Struthio camelus: one gene and its partners. The protein of the gene in region 4 purifies or fractionates together with the protein of the main gene of each other region. This does not show direct contact. Links are inferred from orthologs where the notes say so. Each region holds a gene or a part of one and is shown on either strand. Other genes may lie near its edges. The genes, in order: DDX5, CREB1, SS18 and SMARCA4.

Region 1 (7,497 bases), on a different chromosome or scaffold from region 4:
GATCATTGTATACAACTATGCTATCACCAGAACACAAGTAAAATGGATTTATCTGAACAGACAGAACAAGAAAGCTAAGGAAACCAGTATCTCAACTACCACCAGACACTCGCCCATGCTGTGTGGTTAGGTCACGTATTTGGAAGCCACCAGTTTCCAGGGGATGTTTATTTCCAAAACAGGACATCTAGTCCTGTTCTGGAGGATTTTGAAGTAAAATAAATAAATCTGAGCTTATGGAACAATCTTGGGAGACTACTACTACTGAAACATAAAATCACTGATCTGTGACGAGAAATACAATGTTGCTATGGTATATGAAAGCACTTTGTACTCACATAAGCGTGGACAAAACGGACTGTAACAAATCCGCATTCTTTTAAAATTAAGAACCCCTTTCATTTAGGAATACTCACTATAGGTCCATCTCCTCGCTCTAGGAATGGTTGATGATTTATATGCACAATGGCAGGCAACAAGTACTGTTTGAAAAGGGAGGGGAAAAAAAAGTCTCATTACAGTCTCTTCCCAGAGGTGTTCAGACTGCATTAAGCCAGGCAAAACTGTCACTGCTGAATTTCAGCAGTATTCCAAGTTACAAACAAGAACTTACAGACAGTGTTTTCCCTGATCCAGTCTGCGCTACTCCAACCATATCCAGTCCACTCAAGGCAACGGGCCATCCTTGTGCTTGAATAGCAGTTGGTTCAGTGAAGTTCTGCCTCTGAATCACTTCCATAACATTTGCTTGAAGAGAAAATTAGAACTTATTAACTTAAGTTTTTCCAGGCTTGATTAAGATGAAGTCTATGAGTACCCTATTGTGCACTTACCAGGAAAGTTAGCTTCATAGAAGTTTATAATTGGTTTTGGACAGTTATGGCCCCTAACTGTGACTTCTTTGCTTGATCTGTACTGTTCAACCTCTTGCTGCAAGACAAAAACCCCATAGTTAGAAATAAGCTTTGATACCAAAGTTATCCTATAAGTTACCTCATCCTTGTCCCATGACCCTCAGCATGTTTGTACTTTATTTATTTACTTTCACACAAGTTGGATAGGGTACATACCACAGTACGTCTAACTACATCAGGATGTTCTTGATAGAAGTTCTTTTCAAATTTGGGCAGCTCATCTAAATTCCATTTCTTTTTCGTAAGCTTCTCCCCAGGGTTTCCAAATTTCTTTCCAGACAGAGGTCCACCTCTACTTCCTCCAAAACGGGGGGCTCCAAACCTAGAGAAGAATACACCATAATACAAAACCTGAGAGTAACTCTCTTTCATATACAACTTGATCATTATCCTTACAACCAAACATGCAACTTGACAATTCAGTTTCATAAGTCTCACATACATCATAATAAAACTCCAAAAACATACCAAGCTGCAGATGCCATGATCTGCCTAGTTATAACTCATGCTCAGAAACTAAGGTAACACATTACCTTGCAGTTTCCACAAAATGAAACCGAGACTTATTAACAACCTACAAAACAGCAAGAACATTAAAACACCTGCACAACCCCCACGATCAAAATAGTTTCCCACACGAGCGACACTCCCCTTGTGTGTCAGCCTGCAGAAAGCAAGCAGAGGCAGTTACAAAAGCTCGGCACAACTTCCCCGTAAACGGTTGTTTTGGTATCCCAAAGGGCTGGCTCCTCTCAGTAACGACGTTCTCACGAGGCCACGCGTTTTACGCGTTATCCCCTTTCGTTCAGAAGGGGTTCGTCTCAGAAGCCTACCCTGACGGATCTAAGCGAAGCGAACCCGCGCCCCGAGGACCACCACCCCGGACCCGAGCGGGGCGCTCCCTCCCCCGCCCCGACTGCACCCCACTCCTGGCTGGGCAGGCGCTGGGAGCGATCCTCCCCAACACAACACAGCGCTCCCAGAGGGGACCCGGCTGAGTGGCCGCTGCTTCCTGCCAGCGCTGTTTCCTTTGTCTCTCATTTCTGTCTACGCCACATTTTCCAGCCGCTGCCATTTTAGAGTCTGAGCTGGGCGGGGGGAGGAGGAGGAGGAACAAAGGCAGCAGCAGCAGCCGGCATTTTGATTTCCCCTCAGTCACCGCATGGCGGGGCCGGCCATTAACATCCGCTTACACAACACAAAGCGGGAGCCGGCCGGCTTCTGCCAGCAACAGCCAGAGCCGGCGAAGGGGGGAAGGGAGAGAAGGGACCCGCCCTACCGAGAGCTCCCCCAAGGCTTCTCCGGCATCGACGAAGCGCCCGGCCAACCCACTGACCCACAAACCTCCAGCCAGCCCGCCACTGCTCAGTCCGCCCCCGCGGCCGAGGCGGGGGGTTGGCAGGGGGGTGTGGAAGGACAGGAATCGAGCTCTGCAAGGGCCATCCGTACTCAGGGGGGTGTCCCGAGAGAGGGCTCGATCCCCCTTCCCCCGCCCGCACCCCTAACAAGCGGCCAGGGGCTGCGCGGAGGCGGACGGACTCAGCCCCCGCCCTGGATTACGCGGCCGCCCACACGCGGTGGCTGCCCTTGGCGGCGCCGAAAGGGCCTAAAGGCGTTTCCCCCCTCCCCCCCCCCCCGGCTCTCGTCACGAAACTCCGGAGTTCTGAAGACGGCAAGAGCTGAGAAGAAGGGCTCCAGGGCCCAACCCCCACGCCTCGCCGCCATTTTAGACGGCTTAAAAAAAAAAAAAAGCAGCAGTCAAAACCCCCATAGGCGGTTTAAGAGTCCGGACGCTGGCGGCGGCTGGCGCCAGCCGGGCCCCCGGACTCACCCTCTATCCCTGTCGCTGGAATACCCGGGCATGGCGATGGAAGCGATGGTGGCGAGACGGTTCCGGTCACTAAAGAGGGTGACGAAAGGTACGGCGAGATCCGACGCCGATGGTGGGGGCCACTGAATGTAGAGCGCCCCGCTGCCCGGATGCCGGTTATATAAGGGGTGCCGCGGAGGCTGCTGGGAGCCGGTTGGTGACGCAGGCGCAGAACCCGCCCCTTGTTTTATGTAAGCGGCCCGAGCTGGCCGGAGCCTCCGGCCCCTCCCCTTGTGGGCGTGGCCGCGGCTCGGCCGACTGACCGGCTTCTGCGCGCGCGGGCGGAAGTCCCCCTCCCCTTGTGGGCGTGGCCTCTGTGTCGTCACTGCCCGGCAGCGGCGGCGGCAGCGGGAGTGTCTGCCCCTCCCAGTGCCCACGCAGAGAAGGGCGCGAGCCGCCGCGCTTGCGCAGTAGCGGGGGGCCGCGGCCTAGCGGCGCCCGCCCGACCCGCGGCAGGGGCCCGGAGCTGCTTTGGCCCGACAGGAAGCGCGATCCCCTCCTCCCCCCCCCCCAGATGTTTTACCTATGGACAGCTAGTACATCTGACACCGTAAGACATCAGTAAGTGGCTAAGTAGTGACCTTCCTCTGCACATGCACAGGACTGGACCGAGCCATAAAGGAGTTTTTATCTCTGGGGACTAAAAGCAGTATTTCAGCCACAGGCATTCCCAGGATTTCAAATAGACTGAAGGGGTTGGATGCACGGGTCCTCTCGAAGTTAACCCGCTGGCCACAAATAATTAGAACAGCAGATAGATAAAATACTGCTTAAGCAGTAATTTTAGATTGTTATCCATTGCCTGGGCACTTTCATTAATATTAAAATCCATGTGATTGGAAACAGGTGCTATTTTTATCTTTTCAAATTCCACACCAGGTCTAGTAAAGCAAATTAAAGGTCACGAGGAGTGCACCAGTGCACCAAAGGACACTGCTGTTTGGAAAGCACAGGTGTAATAAATGTCAAACACCTGAAGTTACTAGGGTTGCTTATCTACCCTGCTTTGTTAGCTTGAGGAATAACTTGAATGTCTTGCTACCTGTGGCTTTAAGCACATACAAGATGAGGCTTGACACATAAACATAAGCACTGTATTGCCAGACCATCTCTTTCAGGCAGCGGCCAATAGCAAACAAAAACAACGTAAGGAAAAAACGCTGTAACAACACCCTGCCTTTATAGGCTACTCCCACCTTCTAGCAATTTGTGGTTTAAGACTTTTCGGAAACAAAAATAACGTAACTGTTTTTGACAGTTATGTTTCACATTTTTCCTCTCTTTATGCTCTTATCTTCTAAAGCATTCTGTAACAATCAGTTTCACAATTTAATTATACACTACCTGAGAAGTACTTCCCTTTGTTTTCAACATATTGACTGGTAAGAACAAGGGAGGACTAGCAAAGTGAATTGTCAGAAATGGTAAATAATAATTTCCTATCCACCTTATCTATACCCTTTCGGGACATTAATCTCAGTTACTCCTTTTCCAAGTCAGAGGTGCAATCTAATTATTTCTCCTTTAAAAGCAATTCTGCACTTTGGATAATCCTTGCCACTTTATTGACAAGAAACCCACATAGAATTCAAAATCTGGGCCCCCATATAGATTTACATAATGAAAGCATGATGGTGTTTTTGTTTTGTCTTGTATTATTTCCTAATGATTGTTTTTCATTTTTTGATTGCTGCTAAGATTGGAGCAAGGTTTTAAAGGAACAGTAGTAGATGATTCCATGACTGACCCTCAAAAGCAACACCTAAGCTAGGCCTATCTTTTTTTTTTTAGGTATAGCTACAGCTGTTTCTTCCTCATACATGTTACTTTTTACGTAAATCCACACAATTTCACCTAAAGAAACATAGCCCTCAGAACCTCTCATAGTCTCCATGCCAGCTGCACACATTTAGACTGCAAGTAACTTCAGTTTCCTCTTTGGGGGGAAAAAAACTTCCTCATTTTTCTTTCATCCTTTTACGTTAAACATGTTGTTTATTTTCCTCTGTTCCCGTCTTTCTTTGAGCCAATACATGCAACGTAAAAGAGGCTTGCAGAGCTGTGTATGTATGAAACTGAAATCCATGTTTCAGTATTAATAGTATTGACATCCGTTTTTATATACCCAAAAGCTCTTTTGTTTTTATCAGATTAACTGGTATAAACGTGCGTTAAGATTATGTATCTACCAATTATCTGTCCTTGGACCGTTAAAGCCATCATTACCCCTGGTGTTTACTTGCCTACCCTTGTTCTTACAGTCATCACTGAGATCTCAGCTGCTTCTACGTACTCCAGGAGTTTAAGGCACCATTATTTCTAGTTTTGCAAGACCTGGGGCAACATGGAAACTCCAGAATCCCTAAGCAGCGCTGTACACATGTGCTTTGTAAGGAAGAAAATACATTTTCACCATCAAAGGCCTCTAGAATCTTGTAAACTAGCAGCTAATTGTACAGTACATTTCACAGGACGAAACCTTCTAAGTCATAATTCTAATAAAGGTTCTGGCACTCCTAACATCCAGGAAAGTCATCAAATTACCTGCCATCTCCCAAGCAGACCTACACCACCTGCTAATTTAAACCAAACTCCCCAACTGTACAAACTGTACACTAACCCTTCTAACGTAACCACCACCTCCACCTTTTAGCAAACAACCCCGAGGCCGGCCCTGCAAGGTCAAGAGCTAGAATTTTCCCCTGCTCCACCCCGCCTGCCATAGCCGGCCCTCCTTCCTCATTCTGTGAAAATCGGGGGGGGGGGGGAAGAAATCACCTCACTTCAGGGTGATTAAGGGCGGAACCGCTTCAACAAACCCTCCCCAACCGCCCGCGGAACCGAGCCCGAGTTAAAAGCAGTTTTTTTTTATTACACCGCCATTTTACGCCGCCAGCCTGCCTCGCCGACCGAGGCGCTCCCCCGACGCGGCCCGGCGTCCTTCACCCGCCGCCCGCGACGACGCTGAGGGAAGGAAGCGGCGGCGGCTCCTCGCGCCGGAGCAGCGCCCCCTCCCCCTTCGCGCCGCGGGCTCCACGCATGCGCGAACGCGCGGGCCGCAGACACCCCCACCCCCGCCAGCGCCTCGCCACCAACAGCCCCGCGCGCCAGGAAGGAAGCGGCACGGGGCGGGGGGAAGGGGGGGAAGCAAGGTCCGGGCCACGTGATCCTCGATGCGGCGTCGCTTTGAGGCCCAGGCGCCTCACCCCCTCCCCGTCTCCACGGCAACCAGCGGCTAGGCAACCCGCAACGGCAACGCCAACGGAGGCGGGCCCGGGGCGGACCATTCCCAGCTGCAGCCAATCGCGACGGCCTTCAGCGGGAGACCCCGCCTCTTCCTGCACAGACGGCCCAATCAACGCGCGGGACACAGAGAGGGGCTATTTAAATTACCCGGGGCGGGGCAGTGGCCCTGGTCCGTTAGGGTGCGTGAGGTGCTGTCACCGGGCGCTCGCGCGACCGCGCCATGGGCAGCTCTGAGGAGACAGGTAGGGGGGCCAGAGAAGGGAGCTCCTGAGGAGATCGCCCTTCTCTGACCCGTGGGGCGCCTCTCCCCGGTCCCTGCCCTCGCCCTGCCCTGCCCTGCCCTGCCCTACCCTACCCGCCGCTGGGCTAGGTCGTGGCGCGTCCCCACCAGCCCGAGGGGCCTCCCTAGTGGTGGGGCGGGCGAGGGTGCCGGAGAGGTGGCCGACCTTCGTGCTCTACAGGTGGGAGCTGGGTGAGAAGTAGCCTTTTCACCTCCCTTTGGTCTCTTTTCTGCTGCTCGCTAATCGCCTCCACTTTATTCATGCTTATTTTCCCTTACGATTTCCCTTTTTGTTTTGTGACTTTTTATGCTTTTTATTGTCCCTTCCCTCCTTTTTCTTTAGTGATTCTTTTAAGCTGGAAATAAAGGGTAACCTTAAGTTTTCTAGAACCTGTCAGCCTGAACTGTAGAAGATATTACTTTAATGTTTTGTGCACCTGAAAACAAAGTGTGAGGGTAAGGTGTCTCTTGGAACAGAGTGAAGGGGTGATAGATGGAAATGTAATTCCTCTGTGTACACAAGGAAAACAGCGGGACACGGTAGTATCTGTAGTAGTAACGCTGTACTTCTTTTTTCTTGCACAGATGTCTTATCCCATTTCTAGCAATTTAAAGTCCTTGATAATACTTGTTAAAAATTATATTTTCTTTGCTAAATGAATATGTAGGGGAAGATCAAATCTCAAAAAATCATAGACTAACAGACATATGAAAACTTTTTTTTTCCCTCAAGTTATTATTTGCAGTGTGTGGCAAGGAAAACTGTAGAGGAAACATGTACTCTAAACCACTCTGAATTCATTACTTTTAAAGAGAAAATTTTGGAAAAGATAGTCTACATATGCACATGCTTCTCATTGCACTCAACATATCATGAGACTTTGGGGGGGCAGTTTCATATGCTTGTAATACCTGAACAGCAAAATAATAAAAGCAGTCCTAGGATTTAGTTTTAATGATGAATATTTACATGAGCAGTGTTTCCATTGCCAAGGATATTCAGGAAATTGGGTTTGTAAGAGATCAGCTCATGTTCTTCCAAAAAGTGTATGTTGTTTCTAGTTCTTGATGAAGCGATGCTAAAGACTTTTTTTCCCTCCATCTAGATTGTCAGGTTATGCTTTTAACTTAAAAACCTATAACTTAAATTTATGATGTCCTCAAAGATGCCCTGACTAGCAGAAGGG
Region 2 (7,302 bases), on a different chromosome or scaffold from region 4:
TGGTGTTAAGTTTCCAGGAAGCAGATAGACTGATGACTTGACAGTCTAAATTAGTTGTTTCTGAATTTTTTGGATCAACAGACCTTTCTCTCCTTTCAGACCTTTCCTCTCCCCTGGGGTAGTAGGCACCCTTACACTTTCCTTTCCAAAAAATATGGGAAAACAATGGGTATTTAATACAGATCAGATGCAGACCACTTATTCCAGACTTGGATACAAAAGCTGAGAGTACTAATCTGAACGCCAAATATTACTGGTCGTTCCACCAATGAAATTTAAAAAAACGTGAAGAATTATTATACTCTACTTTCCTACATCCAAACAGTATTTCTTTTTAGGTCACCCATAAGCTATGCTTGACAAATACACCATTACCTTCCTGCTCTCTTTTCTCTCCTGTCAGTGAGGATACAAAGTTTACAGGGAAACGCAGGGAAAGAGTTAGAATATGTTGATGTGAGAGTCCTGCGCTCTATCATGAAATAGAATGGTTTGGGGATAAACAAAATGTTATGTTTCTAAAGCTACAAAATAACGACATGCAAAGGTTTACTGTCACATTTTTGTATTTAAAATGAAGTGAATAGTCCATCAAACCAAAAATGAATGAATTACACCAAACACTATGTTCTGTTTAATCACTATCAATGGCTACATTGCTCACTGAAGTCCACAGATGTCTATTAATCAATTGCAACTTTAGAAACCCTCTTCTCACGTTGGTATTTTTCAGAGTGAAGCGATGTAGAACACCTTGGCTTTCTTTTCAACAGAAGTGGTGGAAACGACAGAGAACAAATTCCACATGCGAGAAAGGACAGGCCTATCTAGACACTTACACAAATCGCACATGCCCATCTTGAATAAAAGAAGGCATTTCCGGAACTTCACCTTTTAGAGTAAAAACCTACGTTTGATGACACAGGGAAAGGGAGAAGCAGAACTTCAGGAGCTCTAGTATTTCAAAATATAATGCTTGGTGGTTACACTGGAATTGAAAAGAGATATTCAGTATTTTCAAATAAGTTTCTAGCCTTTTATTTAAGAGTTAGGAAACTAGTTCTTGAGGGGAGGGGAAAAAAAAAACCCAAAAAAGTGTTTTTGGAAGAAAAAGCCACATGACCCATATTTTTTTTAATCCTTGCATATACTTTTGACAGGCATAAAAAATTTTAGTTAAAAATACGTTTTTAAGAGAGATTGCCAGAGCATTTTCACTTATTACTGTGCACAAAGATGCAGAAATCCAGGCTTTGCAAGAGTAAATAAGGTCAAAACAGTATCTTCTATGCTAGACAATAAAGGGGCGGGGAGGGAAAGCCCCCCAGCGCAGCAGTCAAAGGCAAGGTAGGACTGGTGGAACGTGGCAAGGACAGTTTAGCTGACATTTGCTATTAAAGCACTGATAGAGGTCAAAGCCTGCTCATTTGTGCAGCGCTGAGGAGTCTGTGCAAAACTGGCAAGAGCAAACCCCAAACTGAGATTAACCGGTCACCGCCAGGCTCAAGTTCACTTTCAGTTAAAAATACTAACAGGAAAGAAACACGCTGCAAAAAGGAACCGTATCTTGGTTATGCGATCTGAGCGTCAGCCTTAAAGATCTTCCCTCCTATATTTTAACGGCAGGCGGTGTTGGGTGACCGAGTAAGTTCGCCGGTTTTACAGCCCTCCGCATACGATCATGCCCCCGACACTTCCAATGAAAGTAAACCACCAAGTCAGATGCCGGCCCAAACTTCAGTGCACGGTTTTTATTAAAAACTTCTTGTTACAGAGCCTAAGAGAGCACGTTACAGCGCCTAGGAGCACCCCGCGTGTTTTGTTGTCGGTGGTGGTGGTGGCGGTGGGAGGGGTGTTTTCTTTTTTGTTTTTGATTTGTTTTTAATCGCAGGAGTTTGTTTATTGACACAGCACGCTCAGGTCGCCGGGTAGTGAAACTCTGGGGAAAAAGAAGGGGCAGCGGGGGCGGGTGGGCGGCCGAGGCGGCCCCGGCCAGGGCTGGCGGCCGGCAGCGAGCCGCCGAGGAGGCCGCGCTCGCCCTGCGCCGGCCACAGCCAGGCGAAAACAAGAATTAAAATAAAATTAAAAAAAAAAAAAGAATAAAGAAGACGACCCGTGAGGAGTTGTGTGGAGGCGGTGTGGTGGTGGTTGGGGGGGGGGGGACAGGGGCCGCCACCCCGCCGCGGAGGGGGGAGAGGGTGGGTGTGCAGCCGCCGCCGCCGGCGGCACCGCCGCGGCCGTCTCCTCCTCCTCTCTCCCCCCTCGTCGTCTTCCTCCTCCTCCTCCTCCTCCTCGGGGCCGGGGGGCGCGATCCCCCTCTCCCCGCCGCGCTGAGCGCCGCCGCTGGCTGCCGCCAGAGTCGCCGCCGCCGCCGCCTGGCCGTGGCGGCCGCCGCCGCCGCCGGGGCCGGCTCCCATCCGCCATTATCCTTTGTTCGCGGCGCGGCGGCGGCGGGGATGTTGCAGGGCTCGGCTCCATCTTTAAAGCGGGCGCCCCTCCCGCTGGCGCTGCAAGGCCGGGCCCCCGCGTCCTGCCGCCCGGCGGCTCCCCCTGGTCCCCGCCGGGCTCCATTTCCTTCCCTCCCCCCCGCCCCTGTTTGCTGGGCGCCTTCCTCCTCTTACCGGTTACCAGGCTGCTCCGTCACTGCTTTCGTTCGCGCCTAGGATCTCGCCGCAGTTTTATTCTCTCCCCCACGTAACACACCGCGTCAAACTACACCTCCGCCGCGTCACTCACACACACACAGGCGCTCCCAGCCCGGCGACAGGCAGGCAGCGGCCGACTGAGGAGCGCCAGCCAGGGAGCAAGCGCCGAGAGCGCCGCGGCCCCGCACGGAAACCGCCGAGCGCTCACGGAAACCGCCGAGCGCGCGGCGGGCGGCGGGAACGGCCGAGCGCGCCGCCGGCCCCCGCGGAAAGAGCCGAGCGGCCGCGGAAACGAACGAAGCGCCCCGCCGGGGAGGCGGAAAGAGCCGAGCGGCCGCGGAAGGCGCGAACGCCGCTTCCGCCCGCGGCAGCCCGCGCGGGAAGCGCCGAGCGGGGCCGCGGCGGGGAGGGGGGGTGAGGGCTCCCGCCGCTCCCCTCCGTCCTCCGCGGGCGCGGTGGAAGGGGCGAGGCCCCCCCAGCACACCCCGACCGCCGCCCCGCGCGTCGGGAGAGGGGCGCTCGTCGCCTCCCCGGCAGCCCAGCTGCTGCTCTGTGGCGCTGTCCCAAACCTCCCAAAACTCAGCCCCAGCGGGCCCCCCCGTCCCCGGTTCTCACCTTCCGGAAGGCTTCCAGCCGCCCCTCATGGTCTCCACAAGCACGAGGTGGCAGACATCGTCTCCACAAGCACGACATGGCGGACGTGGTGTCCGCCAGCATGACCTGGCAGACGTGGTCTCCACAGGCACGACATGGCGGACGCGTTCTCCGCACAACATGGCGGACGTGGTGTCCGCCAGCACGACCTGGCAGACGTGGTCTCCACAGGCACGACATGGCGGACGCGTTCTCCGCACAACATGGCGGACGTGGTGTCCGCCAGCACGACCTGGCAGACGTGGTCTCCACAGGCACGACATGGCGGACGCGTTCTCCGCACAACATGGTGGACGTGGTGTCCGCCAGCACGACCTGGCAGACGTGGTCTCCACAAGCACGACATGGCGGACGCGTTCTCCGCACAACATGGCGGACGTGGTGTCCGCCAGCATGACCTGGCAGACGTGGTCTCCACAAGCACGACATGGCGGACACGTTCTCCGCACAACATGGCAGACGTGGTGTCCGCCAGCATGACCTGGCAGACGTGGTCTCCACAAGCACGACATGGCGGACGTGCTCTCCGCACAACATGGCGGACGTGATGTCCGCAGGCACGACCTGGCACACGTAGTCTCCACAAGCGCGACATGGCAGACATGCTCTGCACACGACATGGCAGACGTGGTGTCTGCCGGAACAACCTGGTGCACACAGTCTCCACAAGCACGACATGGTGGATGTGCTCTGCACACAACATCGCGGACGTGGTGCCATCCTGAGGCCTCCTTGCTGCCCTGGCGTTGCATGGGCTCCTCTCACCCCTCCTCAACGCTCCATGGCCTCCGCCTGGCCTCCACCCAGCCCGGCCTCCCCATGCCCTCTCAACGTGGCAAAATGCCCATATGTGTCCCTCAGGCTGCTCCTCCAAGCCTGGCTCTTCCAGCTTGTCCTTGCGGCTGCCTTGCAGCTCGCTCTGGCGCCGTGGCCAGCCGGGGCGGCCCCACGAGCAGGTGGTGCCGCCGCAGCTCACAGGCGCGGGGCAACACTCCCACCACCATAACACCAACACTGCCATGAAGTCCCCGAGCTCCATGTAACCAACCCTCCCTGGCCGCCATCCACATAACCAACCTTCCCCAACTGCCACGAGAAGGACGAACGCTGTCTGCCCAGCCAGGCGACAGAGCCGCAAATCGTGATCTTCAGAGCAGCCCCTTCCCAGGCGAGGGTCCACTCCTGCCGGTGCCACGTCTGCGCTTCATCGCCCTTCCTAGAGAGATAGATTTCACCAGGACGGGGACCCCCAAGTGATGGGGTGTGGGGACGGGGAGAGGCACCCGGCCTGGCTCTGACTTCGTGGGGCCCAGCCTGGCACCCTCCACGCTCTAGTGCCCTCCACACTCTAGTGGCCTGCACGCTCTGGTGGCCTCCACGCACTGGTGACCTCCGTGCTCTGGTGGCCTCCACGGTCTCTCCGGGACGCAGCAGGGAAACCATCCAGCTGCTCTCGCTGGGCTTTTCCTCTGATGGTCCCGCATGGGGCATGGGGCATGGGGTGGGGGGACACCTCGGGGCAGGGCACGTGCTATCTGGCACCGCTTTGGTTGGTCCCGTTTGGTTGCGGCCAGAGGGAGAGCAGCTCCCTGTGCCCGTGCAGTGGGGACATCTCCGGCGGGCAGACGGGCAGATCTGGAGCTCGTAGGACCAATTAAAAACTACGTGTAGTTTTGAAGAAAGTCCATTTTGTTCCAGGAAACCTCGAGATGGCACTGCATGACAAGATTTGAAGCTCCAGATGCCGTTCATTTCAACCACCGGGTCGTTGGCGCGTTCCTCCAGGGCTGCCTGCCGTTATCGCAAGACGCCGCTGCACGGCAATAACCCGCCCAGGTGGGCCCTGCAGAGCCCGCCACTTACACCACATCAAAAGACAGTGTTGCCCACGTGAATCTAGTCTTGTTCTTGCTGAGTCTTGTTTTCCTCAAGAGGGTTGAACTAGTTTTATTGAGAGGGAGTTTCATCCAACTCCGTCAAAAAATCGAAAGAGATGATGCAGACAGCGACTACGGGCTTGCTCTGCTTTTGGCTTTGTTGATTTCAGTTGTTTGAAAACAAACTGAAATAAACCGTGTCTGACATTTTTAAAACAAGCAGCTCAAGTTGGACTGATAAAAAACTGTTTTGTTGAAAACACATAATATGGCTGGGCCACACCTCATTTTGCACTTTTATTGCATTTTTTTCTGTCTGAGCTGTCTGCAAACAGGAGCTCCAAGTTTGCAGCATAGCACAGTAGAGCGTGACCTTTTCTCTCCCTCATTATTTTGGACTTGTGTTGCTCCTTTGATTAATAGCTGATCCTGTCAGCAGCGTACGGCTAAAATCACTCCTAAAACTACTGTACGTCAAGGAGTGGTTCTGAGATCAGAGCGTAAAGGCTCAGCTGCCCTTGTGCTCCTCTTATGGGGAGTAAAGTACTTTATATAAGAAAATATTTAGAATGCGCAGAACAAATTTAGCTGTCTGAGTGTCTCTTGCTTGATTCATGCGTTAATTTATCCTTTTTTCCCCGTTCCCTCTCCTTCTTTCCAATTCTCTGTTAATGTTTCTGTGTTGCATCAGTTTTGTTGGCTCCCCAAATGACCCAAACTGTGTACGTTCTCCACGCAGGCACATTTCCCAGAAGTATGTGACTCGCCTTCTTGCGGGAAGCCTGAAGAATCACAGCGATAAGCGCTCGGAGAGAGTAAACTCCAGTCCTTGAAAGGCAGCTAAAGTGCACTAACCCAGTCTCAGTGAACAGCTCTCCTCAGCAGCCTGAGCCCGAGCTCGGTCTGAGCCAAGAGAGCGCAGCTGATGGGGCTGCGATACGCTGGGCTCCCGGAGACCGGCAAGGGCTGCTGCTATGTTGTCAAGCAGTTCTCTGCGCCGTTTTGATCCTGCTCTTCATTTCAGGCATTGCTAATAATCTGGCATCCTGCTGGTCCTTCCCAGCCCTGCTCTCACCCATCGCTTCTGGGCTGACTCCTTCTCAGTCGTTCTCTTAAAGTCTTTCAGCTCGCTGACGAGCTTTACAGGTATCTTGCAGGGGTGTCTACTTCCCCACCACCCAGCCTGGGCTCCCCTTTTGGCAGACAACTCAAGAGTGCAATTTATCTCAAACCGAAACAGATGTCTCAAATAGGTAAGGTGCCCGAGGTGATCTGAGATTATTCCCAACTGTTGTTTCTATGGTGCCTCCATCTCGTGTCCCATGGCGGAAGCACAGATGATACGTGGAGTGGGGCTGGATTCAGCCCTGACACGGGCAGGTTCAGCGGCACAACTGCGTGAACTGCTGTGAAATCTTCTGGCAGCTGTTTTGCACATTCCCCTTCCCCTTGCAGGTTTTCTGATTTTTCTGCCTCTCAGCAGATCTGGGCAAAACTGGGACACCATTGAGACTGGTAGTGAGAGTTTGAGTTGAAAAAAAAACCCTGCTCTTACTATCATCTACCCGTCCCTTTCACGGTTTTCTCTTGGAGAATTTGTATACAATGGGATGGTAATGATGTGCCAACTACCCACAATGTCCTATCGGGAGAGATTGACTGGGGGCGGAGGGGGATTAGGATGCTCAGCAGTTTTCCTCTTCCTCAGCAAAAGTTTGCTTGATGATGAGTGAAACCCAGCAAGATTAATTATTTTTCTTGCAATTAAGCCTTAGGGGCAAATTCATTAGCTTTGCAGCTTTCAGGCTGGTTTTCCTGGGCAGTGGGCTCCTTGCATACAGCATTGCAGGTTGATTGCCCACGGCCCAAGGTTTGCAGGGGCTAATGGGTGACAATGGGTGACGGCAGATCAGGAAGGGGTGTCGCTGGCTGCAAGGTGTGGTGGCTCTGCAATGCATAAGTTGCATTTGGGAGCAGTTGTTCACCTCTCTCTGCTGACACTGGTAGCGCACAAGATAGTATTTATTGTGGAAACGCAGAGATACATGCCAATTAGGTGGTTAGTGGAGTATGCATTTTGGTGCAACAAGTCTTGCGCTGCACTTTCCACCCCACACAAACGGAAC
Region 3 (8,010 bases), on a different chromosome or scaffold from region 4:
GTTATTTTCATCCAACATCTGAAACGACAAAAAAGTTTAGAATAAGTTTCATGCTTTTTAGGGAAAGAAACTGATGACGAGTTTGATTCTTGCTCCTACTTCTTTTTAAGCAAGTGTTCTAAAAAGCTTTATTTCAACCAATTATTTATAGAACCTATTTTGCTACCATCTCCCCCTTCCTCCCTCTCAGTTTTCAGTTGAAAACTGAAAACTCATTAATTCAAGATGTTGCTGAGTTCCATAAGCAGGAAAAATAATATACTCTGGTCTCAGAGCTGCACATCCCTACACACACATCCTCTTAATCACTCCCTTGCACTCTGGTCAGACAAGACACAGCAGAACTATGGCTAGTCTGAGCTACCAGCCAAATTATCCAGGTTAATTGAACTAAACAAAAAAATTTACAGCCAAATGGAAAACTTCACACTAACTTTTTCCTGCATTTTGCCCTCAGTGGAGGGCTAGTTTAAGATCTCTTTTGCAGCTCCTGAATTTCACAAAACCGGTAGGGTCTTAATTATCTCCCTTCCAAACACGGCTGAAATTAGAAAGCAGGCTTATGACTCTGAAAGGGAAGCACAGACACCATAATTACAGCATCCTCAACTCTGTAAGAATCTAACATAAAAACAAACAAAAAACCTATTAAAATATTTATTTTTTCTTCCAAATAACCTATCTTTAATATGAAAAAGGTACAGATTCAGAGACCTCATACAGTCCACTCAAGACTTGTATCCATGTAAGAACTAATAAGCCAATAAACCAAGTCTTCCTAAACTTAAACCAGTAACTTGCCAGAATTGACAAGAACAGTCAGTAAGCAATCGTCCTTGCCTAAAATTGCTAGACCTGGAAACACTGTCCTTAAGCAACAGACACATACAGAACTGCAATGTTTCGAACATCCGTCTGAACTCCAGAAACTAGGAAGAGATGTACTTCCATGCTCTAAAGGGGCTTGCCGACCCATATACACCCATATACAGACACACTTCACGTGTACTAACATCAAGTTCTGTAAGAAATACAGTAGCTACTTTCACCAGAAAAAAATGAGGAAAAAGGAGCAAATATGTAAATAAATAAAATATATGTATGTATGTCTATATATATATATATAGACAAATACAAGTCTGTTTCTCATATACAACAGACAGCGCATTTGTAAAGGGAGCCTTGGATGAAGGCTCTCATCAGAACACTTCCATCTTCCAGTGGAAGACAGCATATACTTAAAGGGAGTAGATCATCAGACTTCCAGTTAGATGATTCCATTCCCTTTCCCCTCCCCCTCTCAGGTAAGCCAGATCTCTTTGGAGAGGGGGAAAAAAAATGCTAGGGCCAGGAAGAAAGTAAATAAAATGGAATACAACTATAGCCTAGACTAGGCTGCAGGCACTGTTTTATAACGTTTTCATCAAGCAGTTACCGATAAAGAATTGAAATAGTTCTCTGAAAGAATTATAAGCACCTATCACCAAGAAAGAATCTTAAGTTTCCAGCCAGATGAAGACACCTCCAAGGCTTCCAACAGCTTAGGAACACTACAAAAACTTGTTAGCTATACCTATACTAGGATTTTGCAAGCATGGCAGCATCAAATCAACGGTAGGCCTACAGCACAAGAAAAAAAAACCTTAAGTGCCTACATTCTTTATATGCATCCCAGTGAACTGAAGTCTCTACTACCTACTGGTAGGCAGCTCAGTGGGCGTGTACTTTTTGGCTATGCTTCTCAAGCACAGACTACTTCTGCTCCACTACTGCAGAGGTCTGCATCATAACTCTGAGGTCTTCTTTGAGGTCCTGATCCCTACAACTTTGACACCTTGCTGACATCCTTGTCCTCTAATAAAGTCAGCACCTGATTTATCTAAATGGAAGGCATCTCCTCCTACAGGAGGAGCTGACGGCCATAAATTAAAACAGATTTCAGATCACGATTTAAACTGAGGACAGAGAGGGTCTAAAGTTAGGTTTCCAAATGTTACAGAGTCAGCACTGAACTTCAGTGTGCTCTTTTGCCTCTGCCAATGCGACATATCGTTAATTATTACAAGTCCTAAACACGCTTTCTCTCGTTGCTTTTGGCAAGTTAGCTTGCTTCCTCCCACAGGAGCCTAGACGGACGCATCCCAAGTCCCTGCCATCAGCTCTAGCCACAGCCTTCCCCCATAACAGCACTTTAGAGGGTTTTGTTTGGGGCAGGGGTAGGGGAATTAAAAGGTAAGCCAAATCTGGGAGTCTCTGCTCACCCCACGGAGAGAGAGATCACATTTACACAGGGCTTAGCAGCAGCAGCAGCAGGACCGCGGCGTCACTTGCAAGCACCTCTCACAGGAACGGCTTCGCCGACTTCTTCGTTCGCCCCAGGTGCCGCGGGCGAAGCGTACTGAAGGGCTGACTCGCGCTTGCCACACGGCCGCCGGGTGCCGTGTCCCCCCGGGGGCGCGCGGGGGCGCGCAGGGGGGCCGGGGCAACCGCCGCCCCGCGCGCGCGCGGCCTCCCCGCGCCGCGCCCACCCCACGGCGAACACCCGTGGGCGGCGGCAGCGGCGGCGCCGCCCCGCGCCCCCCAGAACAAGTGGCAGAGCGCAGCGGGGCGGCCCCGCGCCCACCGACCGCTGCGCGGGGTCGGACCCCGCCGCGCCACAGCCCGGCCGCCGCCAGCGCGGCCCGGCCGCCGCCGCCCCGCCGAGGGGCTTTGGGCGCCCCGGGGCCTCGCCTCCACCCCCCTCCGCGCACGTCCCGACGCCAGGAAGCAGCCGCAGCCCCCGGGGCCGGGCCAGGCCGGGCCGAGCCCCTCCTCTCTCGCGCCCTCACCTTCTGGATGGCGGCCGGCGTGATCTCGCCCTTCCCCCGCTGCCTCGGGGCCGCGAACGCCACCGACATGTCGGGCCGCTGCAAGGAGGGGCCGCCCCCGCCGCCCGCCCGCTCACGCGCCCCGCGCAACCAACAGCAGCGGGAGGCGGCAGCGATCCGGGAAGAACGCGCTGCGCCGGGGGGGCGGGGCGAGGGGGCGGCTGCCCATCGGGCCAGCCCATCTCTACCCCGCCGGGGAAAGGTGAAAGGGGGAAGGGTATTCTTCCTCCCTCTCCGGCACGGAGAGGGAGAGTCGATAAGGCGGTGGCCGCCTCCCTGGGTTTCAGAAAAGCAAAAGGAGCAAGAATCGGCGCCGCTCCGTTTAAATGTGGCCTCCGTCAGTCACGAGGCCTTTTTGGCTACCCCTTTCCCTTCCTGGCGTTGGTACGTTCCTGCTCAACGCGGCTCCGCGCCGGACAGGCAGCGAAGTGGTACGGCCGGCGAGGGGGGGGGGGCGGGGAAGAGGAGGGGGAAGGGGAGCGCTTTAGCGCTCACGTTACAGGGGACGCACTCCGGCTGTGCCGAGGAACGCGCTCTCCTCCCCCCGCCACCCGCGGCCGCGCTGGTTGCGCCCAGGCGGTGCGCTCTGGCGGCCGTGTGAGGCGGCGGGGGAAGGCGGCGCGGGGGAGCGCTGTGAGGCGGCAGCGGCGGCAGCGGCGGGTCCTGCGCTCGTTCAAGTCCCGGGCGAGGCCGCGGCGACTTCGGTGTGGCACCGCCAGAGCCTCTCGCGTGGGGAGCCGGAGCCGCAGCCGCAGGCCTGGGCATGCGAGGCAGGGGAGGTGCCGCTGGGACGTTTTTGCCGTTGGCGGTGGCACGTGCCGTTTGCCCAGTAGTGTTCGCGCTGACGTTTCCAGGCTTCTGGTGGTGTTTTTTGCTGTCAAGTCATTGCCAGAACTGGCAGGTTTAAAAAAAAAAAAAAGTTTAAGAGCAGACCCTGGGGCTGTATACTCCCCCCTCCCCCCCCCCGCCAGCCCAGCCAGCTTGTGTGTGATTAAGTTTCCCTACTGACCTCCCCGGCCACAGCTTCTCTGTCATGGAAACGAAGCCGAACAAGGAGAAACAAGTGCTGCTACGACTTTTAATAAATTATAGACGCTAAAATTGCTGAAAGCAGCCTTGATTTTTTTCAGTGCTGCCTTTGGAGGGATCTCTGGGGCTTCACCACATATTCTGATACACAAGTTTGCAAAGTCTAAGGCTGTTCTTTACAATAGTAAGAGTTTCAAAGGTAATGGCAAAGAAAAGTAGAAAATCCCAAACTAAAACTTCATAAATCTGCTTTTTCCCAGGCACGTCCCTGGCCTGCCTGGATGCTGTTTAGTGCTGTGCTGTAGGCCATGAATGCTGCATCTCCTTCCTGACGTATTGGGCAGTGACCTTCAGTATCTGATTTGCGCTCTGGTCCTTGACAGAAATGCCTGCTCCTGTGGCTGATGGGACACTGCTCTGTTGCATGACGCCACACAACAAAATGTGAATATTCTCCCTTATTCTGCGCGCTTCTCTCTTTCCCTCTCTCAGCTGTTGCTGGCTCAAGTCCCTGGCTCTTCCCTCCAGCCCTAGCCTTTTTGGTTACAACATATATTTGTAAGTGGCATCCTCGGCCACCCTGTGGCTGTGCAGCTGCTTCCCAACTGGCATGCTCTCTCCTCCGACTGTTTCTAGGCTGGCTTGTTTCCCCAGCCCCATGGAGATTGCTCTTCCTGGCTCTGTTATCCTAGGATTGACTGTGACTGCCCATCATCCCCTATTTTTTTCCCCCTTGACAACCAGTTCCCAGGCTTCTGTCTCCAAACTGTTCTTGCATTCCCAAAGCATCCCCCTCTCCAAGGGACTGTCGCCTGGGCCTGATTCTCTCTGTTCCCAGAATGGTGCTTCTTCTGCCCTGTCTCTTCAGGTTATATAGGACCTTGAGTTGATGCGATGCTAATCTGGCTTGCTGTCCTCTCCAGAAAGTGATTCTGGCCCAGTCATTTCACTATAGGTCATTTTAAGGAGGAGGACTAGTGCCGGCATATCCATTAGGTTGTTTGTGTTTCTACACGTTTCACTCATCACCATGGTATCTAGGTCCGCTTTACTTTATTTGTACAAGCAGTTTTTTTTCTCTCACCTTCCCACACATTTCATTATTATCTGTAGCAGCAGTATTATCATACTTGTAGGAAAACAAAGGCAAAAAGAAATGGTTGAAGAAACCCTTTTTTCTGAAGTTGATGGGCTTCATGGTCATTCATGGTTTTTGTTGAATATTCTTGGAGTGCACTCATACCACAGAGATGTGGCAATAGCTCTGTGCTCAAATCAATATTATTTCTAGATACTACAAATGACAGTCCTAAGAATAAAGAGTACAAGATCACTGTGGCCAGAATAGAATGAGAAGGTACTACCTTCTAGCCAGTTGCAATAGAAGAAACAGGACTTATTTCCTTAGCAGAAGTAGATACTTGGCTTTTGAGAAATAGGGATGTGTCGGAAAGTATTCTAAGGCGGCAGGCACCTTCAGCAATCAGAGGACAAATACATTCTCATGAAGTATTCTGAACACTGAGAATTCTTCAAAATGCTGTTCTCTTCCGACAAGTATAACTAACCTTGCTGCCATCCTCTAGTTAGACAGCTGCTGTTTCTGAAATGTTTTGCATTGGGGTATCTTGGTGACGACAGTATTTGACACAATGTGGGTTAGGTGTCAGCCACATAGCAATTGCTTTTAAGCTCAGAATAATGCATCGTGCTCTCCCACACTTTCAGGCTGATGATCAGTAGAAGAAAAAAAAAAAGGTTTGTGGGATTGCACGGGGATGGTGGAACCTTAAAATGAAAGGAGTAATTGCCCATCCTAATTCCCAGAGATGGCCTAAATTAAATACTAGATACTTTTAAGTGCATTCCTGTTTTCCATTCCAAATGCAGAACAATGTTTGGAATTCAGCTGTTACCAAAGGAAGATACAGACATAAGAAAAGATCATTCATTTAAAATAATTAAAACTGTCTCTTTTGCCTGGTTTTATCTGGTAGTTGTAAATTAAATCCAGTTATTCCCCTTTCTTTGTGATGATTTTACATTCATATGTTTAAAATTTGGGGTTTCCATGTTCATGATCTAAAGAAAAGTTCAAAAAAGAGACTGCAGCTCCATTTTTTAACGGGGAAAGAGAAAATCACATTGAAAATCAACATTTAAATAATGGCACAGATGCATACAGGCAGGGAAATAGATAGCTACAATGGAAACGTGCCACATGTCTCGGAACACATAACCACAACAGGGTGTCTCTTTTATGACTTTCTTAATGCACTGCAATATGCCTAGATATCGAAGGACATATGGTATATTTTCTTTTTAATTGCACATTTCTTTACTCTTGAGTTACTCACAACCTTAACATTATTTAATTGTAATTTTGATACATAAATCTAGATCATCACAAAGAGTTTCAAATACAAAATATGTTTCATCCAGCTCTTTTCCATCTCTGCTCCAAGTTTTATCAGTGTAGCATCCTTTTTTTTTTTCATGTGTATTTCAGTATTTCATACTTTTTGAAGGGAGAAGAATGCAGACAGAGAAGGATGTGCCCTTTTCTGAAACATTTTTTTCCCTGTGTTTCCAGCTCATCTTTCTCAAACACAAGTACCTGGGTAACAATATAGGCTCTGAGATTAGGGTCCAGAAAGCATTAACATATGGCTCCTAGAGAAAGCTATCTATTTGAAATGAAGCGCATAACAGTTGAGTGATTTTAGCCTCCTCAGGAGTGTGTCAAAATTCCTCACTGCACTGGGCTTCATTTGATTTAGTTTTGGGGAAAGCTGTAAGATTTGCAGTGATGCGGTCTTCCAACGGTTCTGAGAAAAAAATAAGGTAGCTTCAGTTTCTGCCTATATTTTCTGCCGTTTTTATTATCCGATTTTCCATAAATTCCCTGGAATAGAAGAGACGGATAAAAAGGGATCAGAAAACATTCCCTTTCACAAGCAGGAAAATACAGAATGCTGATCCATCATCATTTTCAAATTTTAATTCAAAACTTAAATTCACATTTTAAAGTTGGTATTTACTAAGCTGACAGTACAAGACAGGAGAGCAAAGACGTTTTTGGTAATGCTGCTTACACCTGCTTGACTAAAGATTGCAGTATCGTGTTGAGAATGATTCCTGAGAGTTAGAACTTTCTCGGAGACAGCACCTCATTTTGTGCATTCACCTCAAACTGACAAGAATCACTTTATTAAAAGTAAATATGATAGCTCAGAGTCTAGTGCTAGTAGGATGGCAGGGCAAATTTGAGCCTTTTTTTAGGGCTGACTTTTTTTTCATCTTGTGATTAAAAAAAAAAAAAAAAAAAGAAAAGAGTTTTGGGTTTATGCCTGTGTGTTTCCTAACATTTTTAGATTAGAAATCAGGGAGCAGTTACAGCAAATCTCAAGGAGTAGCTTCCTTGGGTAGATAAAAAGGAAAGTTACCAAAAGGAAGAAATACAATTTTTGGCTCAGTATTTCTATGGGCTTCACTAACTGGACTTGGTGTGATCTTGTGACTTTGGGGGGATTTCCTACATGCCCAGAATACATGTTAATTCTTCCTGATGCAAAATGGAGCTAGCATCTGAAAATCTGCCAATTTAAATGGTTGAGCTTAGAAGATTGTTCAGATTCAGTCTCTTTAATTAATCAGTAAGTTGTTATCAAATTATACAACAATATCAGCTTGTTGTTAAAGTAAATGGTCTCTCATGGTGTTTTTGCTTCCTAAAAGGGATCACACTAATAGGGTAAATTTGTCTGGAATTTAGTCTGTCAGCTTCTTGTCTGCGTCTTTCAATTTTGCCATTTATATTTTGCATTAGCCTTTGCACAGAATATTAATAAGAATATTAATATTGTACAGAACCTGAAATACAAGCTTATATGTTCTGATATAAACTGATATGAACTACCCCACCAGCATGAATAGTACAAAGATATTGGTTGCTCTACTAAGTTCCAGAGGGGCAGTAACAAAAACAGGAAAAATCATTGTGAAGCTAAATTTTTATTCTAGTATCTGCCATGTTAGTTTGCAAATATAAATATTGAGAATAAAGAAACTCACACTATGTTCAGCAGTCTGCACTAATGGGAGTAAGTGCAAC
Region 4 (7,186 bases):
CCCCTTTGTTTTACGCTTTCCCTCGCCGGAACGACGGCAAAACCGGCTGGGAAATCCTCACGGAAAATACCGAGCGTTGGCAGCTTTTTCCCGTCGTGCAAGCGCAGTGGGTTTTGAGTCTCCCCGCTTCTGCGCGGCGCCGTTCTTAGCCGCGAGCTTGTTTCCCCGCGGGGCGATCGTCCGCTTGGCGGGGTTTCGCTTCGAAATCCCTCCCTCCTCAGGGAGCCGGGCTGTCGCCCCCGATCCCGTAGCGGTCGGCCGGCCGCCAGGGCCGGGGAGGAGGAGGAAAAGGAAGAAAACCGACGGGCGCTGAAGGGGTCGGGCTGGCGGCGGCGCCGCATCGGTCCTGCGCCGACGGCAGCTCTGTGGCTTCAGGAGGGCAGGGAAAAACGCACATCTCCCACGTCGCCGTCAGCGGCTCCGCTTCGTTTATGCTCCTTTTAATTAAGAGTAGGATTTGAGACCTCCCCCCCCCCCGTTTTGTTTTTTTTTAACATCTCGAGCAAGGGCTTCAGCCCTCTCGGTGAAGGAAGGAGAGCGATTTTTGCTGCGAGACAGCAGAAATCAGCGGTCGCCCTTGCTGCAGCGAAAGCTAATTTTGGGGGGCGAAGCGAAGGGATCGCAAGGCGTTTGGCTCGCTCGGGAGTTTGCGGCCCGGAGGGGGCGTTCCGTGGCGATTTGTGCAGGTAAAACGTGGAAGTTCGGAGCTAGCTCCAAAACACGAGCCCCCTTTTTGGGAAGGGCCCTGTCCTGGCCCGTTGTACCTCCCTCGTCCGCTCGGTTTCATCGCCAGGTCGCAGTTTCTGTCCTTTCTCTCCGGCGTTTTTCCGTGCTGCCGAAGCAGGTGGTGTTCCCCCCCCCAAGGCCGCCTGCGGTGGTCCCGCGTGTCCTTTGCGGCGGCTCTACTTAATTAGCGTACGTTTAGCGAGCGCTTGGAGAGCCTGGAAGAGAAGGCAGAGCTTTACTTAGCAGCGGCCACCACCGTTGTCTTTGGGCTGTGGGCACGGCCAAGCCAGGCCAGATCCGGGCCCGACAGCAGGGCTCCTGCTGTTCCACCTCAACCCGCAGGAGACCTCAACCCGCAGGAGACCTCATCCTGCAGCACGTCCTGCTCCCCACGTCTCCCACTGTCCAACGCCACCTTCTCCCCGTGTCTCCCGCTCTCCAACCCTTCTCCCCGCGTCTCCCGCTCTCCAACCCACCTTCTCCCCGCATCTCCCGCTCTCCAACCCACCTTCTCCCCGCGTCTCCCACTGTCCAACGCCACCTTCTCCCCGTGTCTCCCGCTCTCCAACCCTTCTCCCCGCGTCTCCCGCTCTCCAACCCACCTTCTCCCCATGTCTCCTGCTCTCCAACCCTTCTCCCCGTGTCTCCCGCTCTCCAACGCCACCTTCTCCCCGCATCTCCCGCTCTCCAACGCCACCTTCTCCCCGCGTCTCCCGCTCTCCAACGCCACCTTCTCCCCGTGTCTCCCCCGCTCTCCAACCCTTCTCCTTGCGTCTCCCGCTCTCCAACGCCACCTTCTCCCCACGTCTCCCCCGCTCTCCAACCCACCTTCTCCCTGTGTCTCCCGCTCTCCAACGCCACCTTCTCCCCACGTCTCCCCCGCTCTCCACCCCACCTTCTCCCCGCGTCTCCCGCTCTCCAACCCACCTTCTCCCCACGTCTCCCGCTCTCCAACCCACCTTCTCCCCACGTCTCCCCCGCTCTCCAACCCCACCTTCTCCCCACGTCTCCCCCGCTCCAACCCCACCTTCTCCCCGCTCTCCCACCCCACCTTCTCCCCGCGTCTCCCCTGCTCCAAACCCATCTCTCCCCCCATGTCCCCTGCTCCCAGCCCCTTCCCCTCACAGACCCCCGGCCTGTGCCCCCTCACGAACCCCCTTCCTTCTTGGAACCCCTTTCCCTGGGCCTTGCCCCCTCGTGGACCCCCTCCCCTCGTGGATCCCTTCTCCTCACAGTCCCCTCCCCTCGTGGACCCCTTCTTTCATGGATCCCCTTCCCTCGTGGACCCTCTTCCCCAGGCCTTGCCCCCCCGTAGACCCCTTCCCTTCATGGACCCCCTTCCCTTCATGGACCCCCTCCCCTCGTGGACCTCTTCCCCAGGCCTTGCCCCCTCGTAGACCCCTTACCTCATGGACCCCCTCCCTCAGAGACCCTTTTCTTCATGGACCCCCTCCCTCATGGCCTTCCTTCGTGGACCCTCTTCCCTCATGGACCCTCTCCCCTCGTTGACCCTCTTCCCCAGGCCTTGCCCCCTCCTGGACCTCTTTCCTCATGGACCCCTTCTCTCATGGACCCCCTCCCTCAAAGACCCCTTTCCTTCATGGACCCCTCCCCTCGTGGACCCCTCCCCTCATGGACCCCCTCCCCTCGTGGACCCCTTTCTTCATGGACCCCCTCCCTCAGAGACCCCTCCCCTCTCATGGACCCCTCCCCTCATGGACCCCTCCCCTCATGGACCCCCTCCCCTCGTGGACCCCTCCCCTCGTGGACCCCCTCCCCTCGTGGACCCCTCCCCTCATGGACCCCCTCCCCTCGTGGACCCCTTTCTTCATGGACCCCCTCCCTCAGAGACCCCTCCCCTCTCATGGACCCCTCCCCTCATGGACCCCCTCCCCTCATGGACCTCTTCCCTCATGGACCCCTCCCCTCGTGGACCCCTTTCTTCATGGACCCCCTCCCTCAGAGACCCCTCCCCTCTCATGGACCCCCTCCCCTCATGGACCTCTTCCCTCATGGACCCCTTCCCTTGTGGACGCTCTTCCCCGGGCCTTGCCCCCTCCTGGACCCCTTCCTTCATGGACCCCTCCCCGACCCCCTCCCCTCCTGGACCCCCTCTCTCAGAGACCCCTCCCCTCTCATGGACCCCTTTCTTCATGGACCCCCTCCCCTCATGGACCCCTTTCCTTCATGGACCCCTCCCCTTGTGGACCCCCTCCCTCAGAGACCCCTCCCCTCTCATGGACCCCTTCCTTCATGGACCCCTCCCCTTGTGGACCCCTCCCCTCATGGACCCCCTCCCCTCATGGACCCCTTTCTTCATGAACCCCCTCCCCTCGTGGACCCCCTCCCTCAGAGACCCCTCCCCTCTCATGGACCCCTTCCTTCATGGACCCCTCCCCTTGTGGACCCCTCCCCTCATGGACCCCCTCCCCTCATGGACCCCTTTCTTCATGAACCCCCTCCCCTCGTGGACCCCCTCCCTCAGAGACCCCTCCCCTCTCATGGACCCCTTCCTTCATGGACCCCTCCCCTTGTGGACCCCTCCCCTCATGGACCCCCTCCCCTCATGGACCCCTTTCTTCATGAACCCCCTCCCCTCGTGGACCCCCTCCCTCAGAGACCCCTCCCCTCTCATGGACCCCTTCCTTCATGGACCCCCTCCCCTCATGGACCCCCTCCCCTCATGGACCTCTTCCCTCATGGACCCCTTCCCTTGTGGACGCTCTTCCCCGGGCCTTGCCCCCTCCTGGACCCCTTCCTTCATGGACCCCTCCCCTCGTGGACCCCTTCCTTCATGGACCCCCCCGACCTCCCCCCTCGTGGACCCCCTCTCTCCCTCCCCCCGACCCCTCCCCTTCGCCGCAGTGGCGCGGCCAGTGCGCATGCGCGGAGGGAGGGGGGGAGCCGCCGTCAGCGCCGAGCGGGCGGCACGCGGCACGCGCCTCGCTCGCCCCGCCCCCCGCCTCTCCTCCCGCCACCCCATTGGCTGCGGCGGGGATGGAGCCAGCGCCGGGGCAGGTTGCGCAGCGCCGATTGGCTGCAGCGCGCGCGCGCGCGCGCGGGCGGGCGGGCGGGCGCGCGAGATAGGAAAGCGGGGAGGGGGGGGGCCTGTGGGGTCTCTCCCATTGGCTGCCTCGCCGAGCGGTAGTGGGCGGGCCTTCCCCCCCTCCTCCCAGCCGGCTGGTCCCCGCCTCATTGGCCGAAGAGCGTGCCTGCCGCCCCTTCTCACCAATAGGAGGCGCGCTGCTGAGGAGCGGGTTCTCCGCGCTGCCATTGGCTGTCGCGGGGAGGGGGGCGGGCGCACGCCGGCTCTCCGCTGCCCTCATTGGCTGCGCTGGCGGAGGGGGCGGGTGAAGTGCGCAGGGGGCGGTGCGCACGGAGGCGGGGAAGGGGAGGGAGAGAAGCCGAGCCGGCGCGCATGCGCGCTGCCTGCCTGCCTGCCTGGGGGGGCGGGGTGGGGGCGCGCGCGGGCGGCGGGGGAGGCGCGCGCGCGCGGCTCGCGCTCCCTCACACACGGCGGCGGCAGCGGCGGCGGTGGCGGCTCCTTTGTTCCCGCCGCGCCGCGCCGCGGGCTCGGCCGCCCCGCCGGGTATGGACCCTGCCGGCGGCGACCAGCGCGGTAAGGGCCGGCGGGGGCCTGTCACGGCGCCCGGGCCGGTCCCTCACTGAAAGGGACCGGCGGGGTTGGGGGGGGGGGGAGGGAAGACGCTGTGGGAGGTGGGGGGGGCGCGCTACGGCGGCCCCGGAGGGTCACGCGAGCTCGGCGTCGCGCTCCCGCCCATTGTTCGGGGCTGGGGGCGGGGGGGGGGGGAGGCGGTGTGGGAGCGGTCTCTCCCTTCCCCCCCCCCCAACCCGCCTCAACGAGCGCTCACCGGTTCCCCCCCCCTCCCAAACATCATCATCATCATCATCATCCCTCCTTCCGTGGGGCCTTTGCATTCCCGGCGCCCTTTCCACCTGGCATCGCTGCTCCCCCTCTCCCCCCCCCCCGGTTCATCTCCCCCCCTCCCCCAACCTTCATCGTCCTACCTGCATCCCTTCCTTTCATCGACCCCCCCCTTCCATCAACTCCCCCCCCCCGCACCCCCGACCCCTTCCATCAACCCCCCCCCCGCACCCCCGACCCCTTCCATCAACCCCCCCCCCGCACCCCCGACCCCTTCCATCAACCCCCCCCCCCGGCACCCCCGACCCCTTCCATCGACCCCCCCCCGCACCCCCGACCCCTTCCATCGACCCCCCCCCGGCACCCCGACCCCTTCCATCGACCCCCCTCCCCAGCAACCCCGACCCCTTCCATCGACCCCCCTCCCCAGCACCCCCCACCCCTTCCATCGACCCCCCTCCCTGGCATCTCCTACCCCTTACTGACCCCCCCCTTTTCATTACCCCCCCCGCGTCCCCCCCTTTTCATTACCCCCCCCGCGTCCCCCCCTTTTCATTACCCCCCCGCGTCCCCCCCTTTTCATTACCTGCCCGCGTCCCCCCCTTTTCATTACCTGCCCGCGTCCCCCCCTTTTCATTGTCCCCCTGCATCCCCCCTGCATCCCCCGCTTTGATTGTCCCCCCCGCATCCCCCCTTTCATTGTCCCCTCCCTTCAGCACCCCTCTGCCTCCCCTCCTTTCATCACCCCCCCGCATCCCCTTCTTTCAGCACCCCCCCAGGCCCCCAGCCCCCCCATCCTCCCCCTCTGCAGCCTGCTTCAGCATCCTTCCACTGTAGCCTTTCCCCCAGCGCCCCCCTCCTTTCAGCCCCCCCAGTGCCCCTCCTTCCAGGCATCCCCCCCCCCAGTTCCCCTTCGGGCTCCCCCCTCTTGCAGCCCTCCCTCCGCTCTCCCCTTCTCAGCCTCCTTCCTGCAGGCCCCCCCCCCCCAGCTCTTGCAGCCCTCTTCCCCCCCACCCCCAGCGTGGGGGGGGCTCTGCCCCCCAGCTCCCCACCCCGCCTCCCCCCTGCCCCTCGCTCAGCGGCAGCCTGTGCTGCTGGCAGGTTGGGTGATGGGGGTCAGGGACGCCGCAGTGCCCCCCCCTCAGCCCCCCGTCAGCATCTCCCTTCAGCAGGGTCGGTTGCACCCCCTCCGCCCCATCCGTTTCCCCGCAACCTGCCGAGCATTCGCTGTCCCCCAGCGCTGTCTCCCGGGGGGGGATCCGTGTCGCCCCCTCCTTTACGCCCCCCTTTGGCATCCCTTCTCCCCCGCTTTGTGGGGTGCTGCCCGTCCTCTGGAGCACCCGTCTTCCCCGGGGCATTTCCCCTCCCGTCGGCAGGGCCCCCGTCCTGCGTCCCTGAGCGTCCCTGTCCCCCCTCCCCGGAGCGTCTCCCCTTTATTGCTCCTCCTCTCCCCGTCGCTCTGCTGTTTGTCCTTCTGGAGGACGCCGTTTCTCCACCCTGTGAGATCCCCCTCGTCCCACCTTACTGCCCTTCTCCTGCCCTCCAGCTTCTCACGCCGGGCCAGCACCCCTCACTCTTTATACCCTACTGCCCCTTCCCGGCTTCTGTCTCTTCCGTTGTGGCTTCTTCCTCCCGTAGCTGCGTTTTTGTGGCGCCGTCTGGGTTTCAGCACCAGCTTCCCTGGTCTCCAAGGGATCTGCTCCTCGTTCTGCACCTCCTTCCTGAAATACTGATAGCAGCGTCCCCCCCCACCCCGTCCGCGAGCAGTGGCCCTCTGCCGTCGCTCTCATCCTGTCCTCAGGTCGCCTGCTGCCCCCTCCCTGCTCTCCACCCCTAAAAATTAATCTGCCTTTTGCCCCCTTCCTGGGGGGGCTGCGATGCAGAGGGGTTATTGCATCCCTCGGGCTGACGGCATCCGGGCTGCATCCTCTGGCGCCCGAGCTGGTGGCCGAATCTGTGTATTCGCGCTGCCTAGGACAAAGCCAGGGGATGAAATCTGTCTGCCCTGGCTTCGCAAGAAGCTGCCCCGGCCTCCCGTCTTTGTGGCAGCGCGCCCTGTCCGTACGCGAAGGTTGGTCTCCTGCGCCGGCCAGAGGGGGATCGAGCCTTCCCTGCTGGCCGCCCCCGGCACAAAGCCCGTCCTGGCGTGAGCCGCGGCGAAAGAGAGCCGCCCCAGGGTGCTACGGAGGGTTTTTCGCGGCGCTCGGGTGCAGCCGCCCCCTCCTTGCTGCCCAAAAGCCCCTGCAGGAGCCTCCTCCCCCCACCCTCAGCCACCCCGCCGGAGGCACTCAAAGCACGTTGAAGCCCGGAGTGTCTTAATGCGGTTGCGGCCCCGTCGAAAAGGCGGGGGACGCGCGCTCGTGTCCCCCCAAGCGGAGGGGCTCGACTCCCCTCTCTCCTCCGCTGTGTTGTGCGTGGCGGCGGCGGTGGGGGGGGGGTTCGTGTCCCCGCTGCCGGCTGCGCGGCCTTTGGCGGCGACGTCTTTTGTTATGAGCCGGTGTCTTTCTCCCGGGCTGTAGCGCTGGTCTGTAACGACTGTTCCCCCACCGCGTCTCGGCGACAGAGGCGCGGTGG

The links.
Region 1: the proteins of SMARCA4 (region 4) and DDX5 purify together in Homo sapiens (affinity purification with western blotting; 3 studies listed by BioGRID and IntAct, with this or other methods). This does not show direct contact. The link is inferred for Struthio camelus from reciprocal best matches to the Homo sapiens genes SMARCA4 and DDX5.
Region 2: the proteins of SMARCA4 (region 4) and CREB1 purify together in Homo sapiens (affinity purification with western blotting; 3 studies listed by BioGRID, with this or other methods). This does not show direct contact. The link is inferred for Struthio camelus from reciprocal best matches to the Homo sapiens genes SMARCA4 and CREB1.
Region 3: the proteins of SMARCA4 (region 4) and SS18 purify together in Homo sapiens (affinity purification with mass spectrometry; 8 studies listed by BioGRID and IntAct, counting the BioPlex papers as one, with this or other methods). This does not show direct contact. The link is inferred for Struthio camelus from reciprocal best matches to the Homo sapiens genes SMARCA4 and SS18.

Annotation. Positions count from the first base shown.
Region 1 is NC_090960.1:4,671,512-4,679,008, reverse strand, and holds the start of DDX5 (probable ATP-dependent RNA helicase DDX5), read right to left. Parts: upstream 3,012-7,497; 5' UTR 2,778-3,011; coding exon 2,746-2,777; intron 1,237-2,745; coding exon 1,071-1,236; intron 931-1,070; coding exon 834-930; intron 748-833; coding exon 614-747; intron 483-613; coding exon 417-482; intron 1-416. Other genes in the region: CEP95 (centrosomal protein of 95 kDa), read left to right, coding at 6,251-6,272. UniProt on the Homo sapiens protein: Involved in the alternative regulation of pre-mRNA splicing; its RNA helicase activity is necessary for increasing tau exon 10 inclusion and occurs in a RBM4-dependent manner. Binds to the tau pre-mRNA in the stem-loop region downstream of exon 10.
Region 2 is NC_090947.1:9,435,782-9,443,083, reverse strand, and holds the start of CREB1 (cyclic AMP-responsive element-binding protein 1), read right to left. Parts: upstream 3,010-7,302; 5' UTR 2,622-3,009; intron 1-2,621.
Region 3 is NC_090943.1:122,327,181-122,335,190, forward strand, and holds the start of SS18 (protein SSXT), read right to left. Parts: upstream 2,898-8,010; coding exon 2,829-2,897; intron 2,459-2,828; exon of another isoform or gene 2,262-2,458; intron 19-2,261; coding exon 1-18. Other genes in the region: PSMA8 (proteasome subunit alpha-type 8), read left to right, coding at 2,896-3,251. UniProt on the Homo sapiens protein: Appears to function synergistically with RBM14 as a transcriptional coactivator. Isoform 1 and isoform 2 function in nuclear receptor coactivation. Isoform 1 and isoform 2 function in general transcriptional coactivation.
Region 4 is NC_090972.1:4,652,420-4,659,605, reverse strand, and holds the start of SMARCA4 (transcription activator BRG1), read left to right. Parts: upstream 1-4,177; 5' UTR 4,178-4,345; intron 4,346-7,186. UniProt on the Homo sapiens protein: ATPase involved in transcriptional activation and repression of select genes by chromatin remodeling (alteration of DNA-nucleosome topology).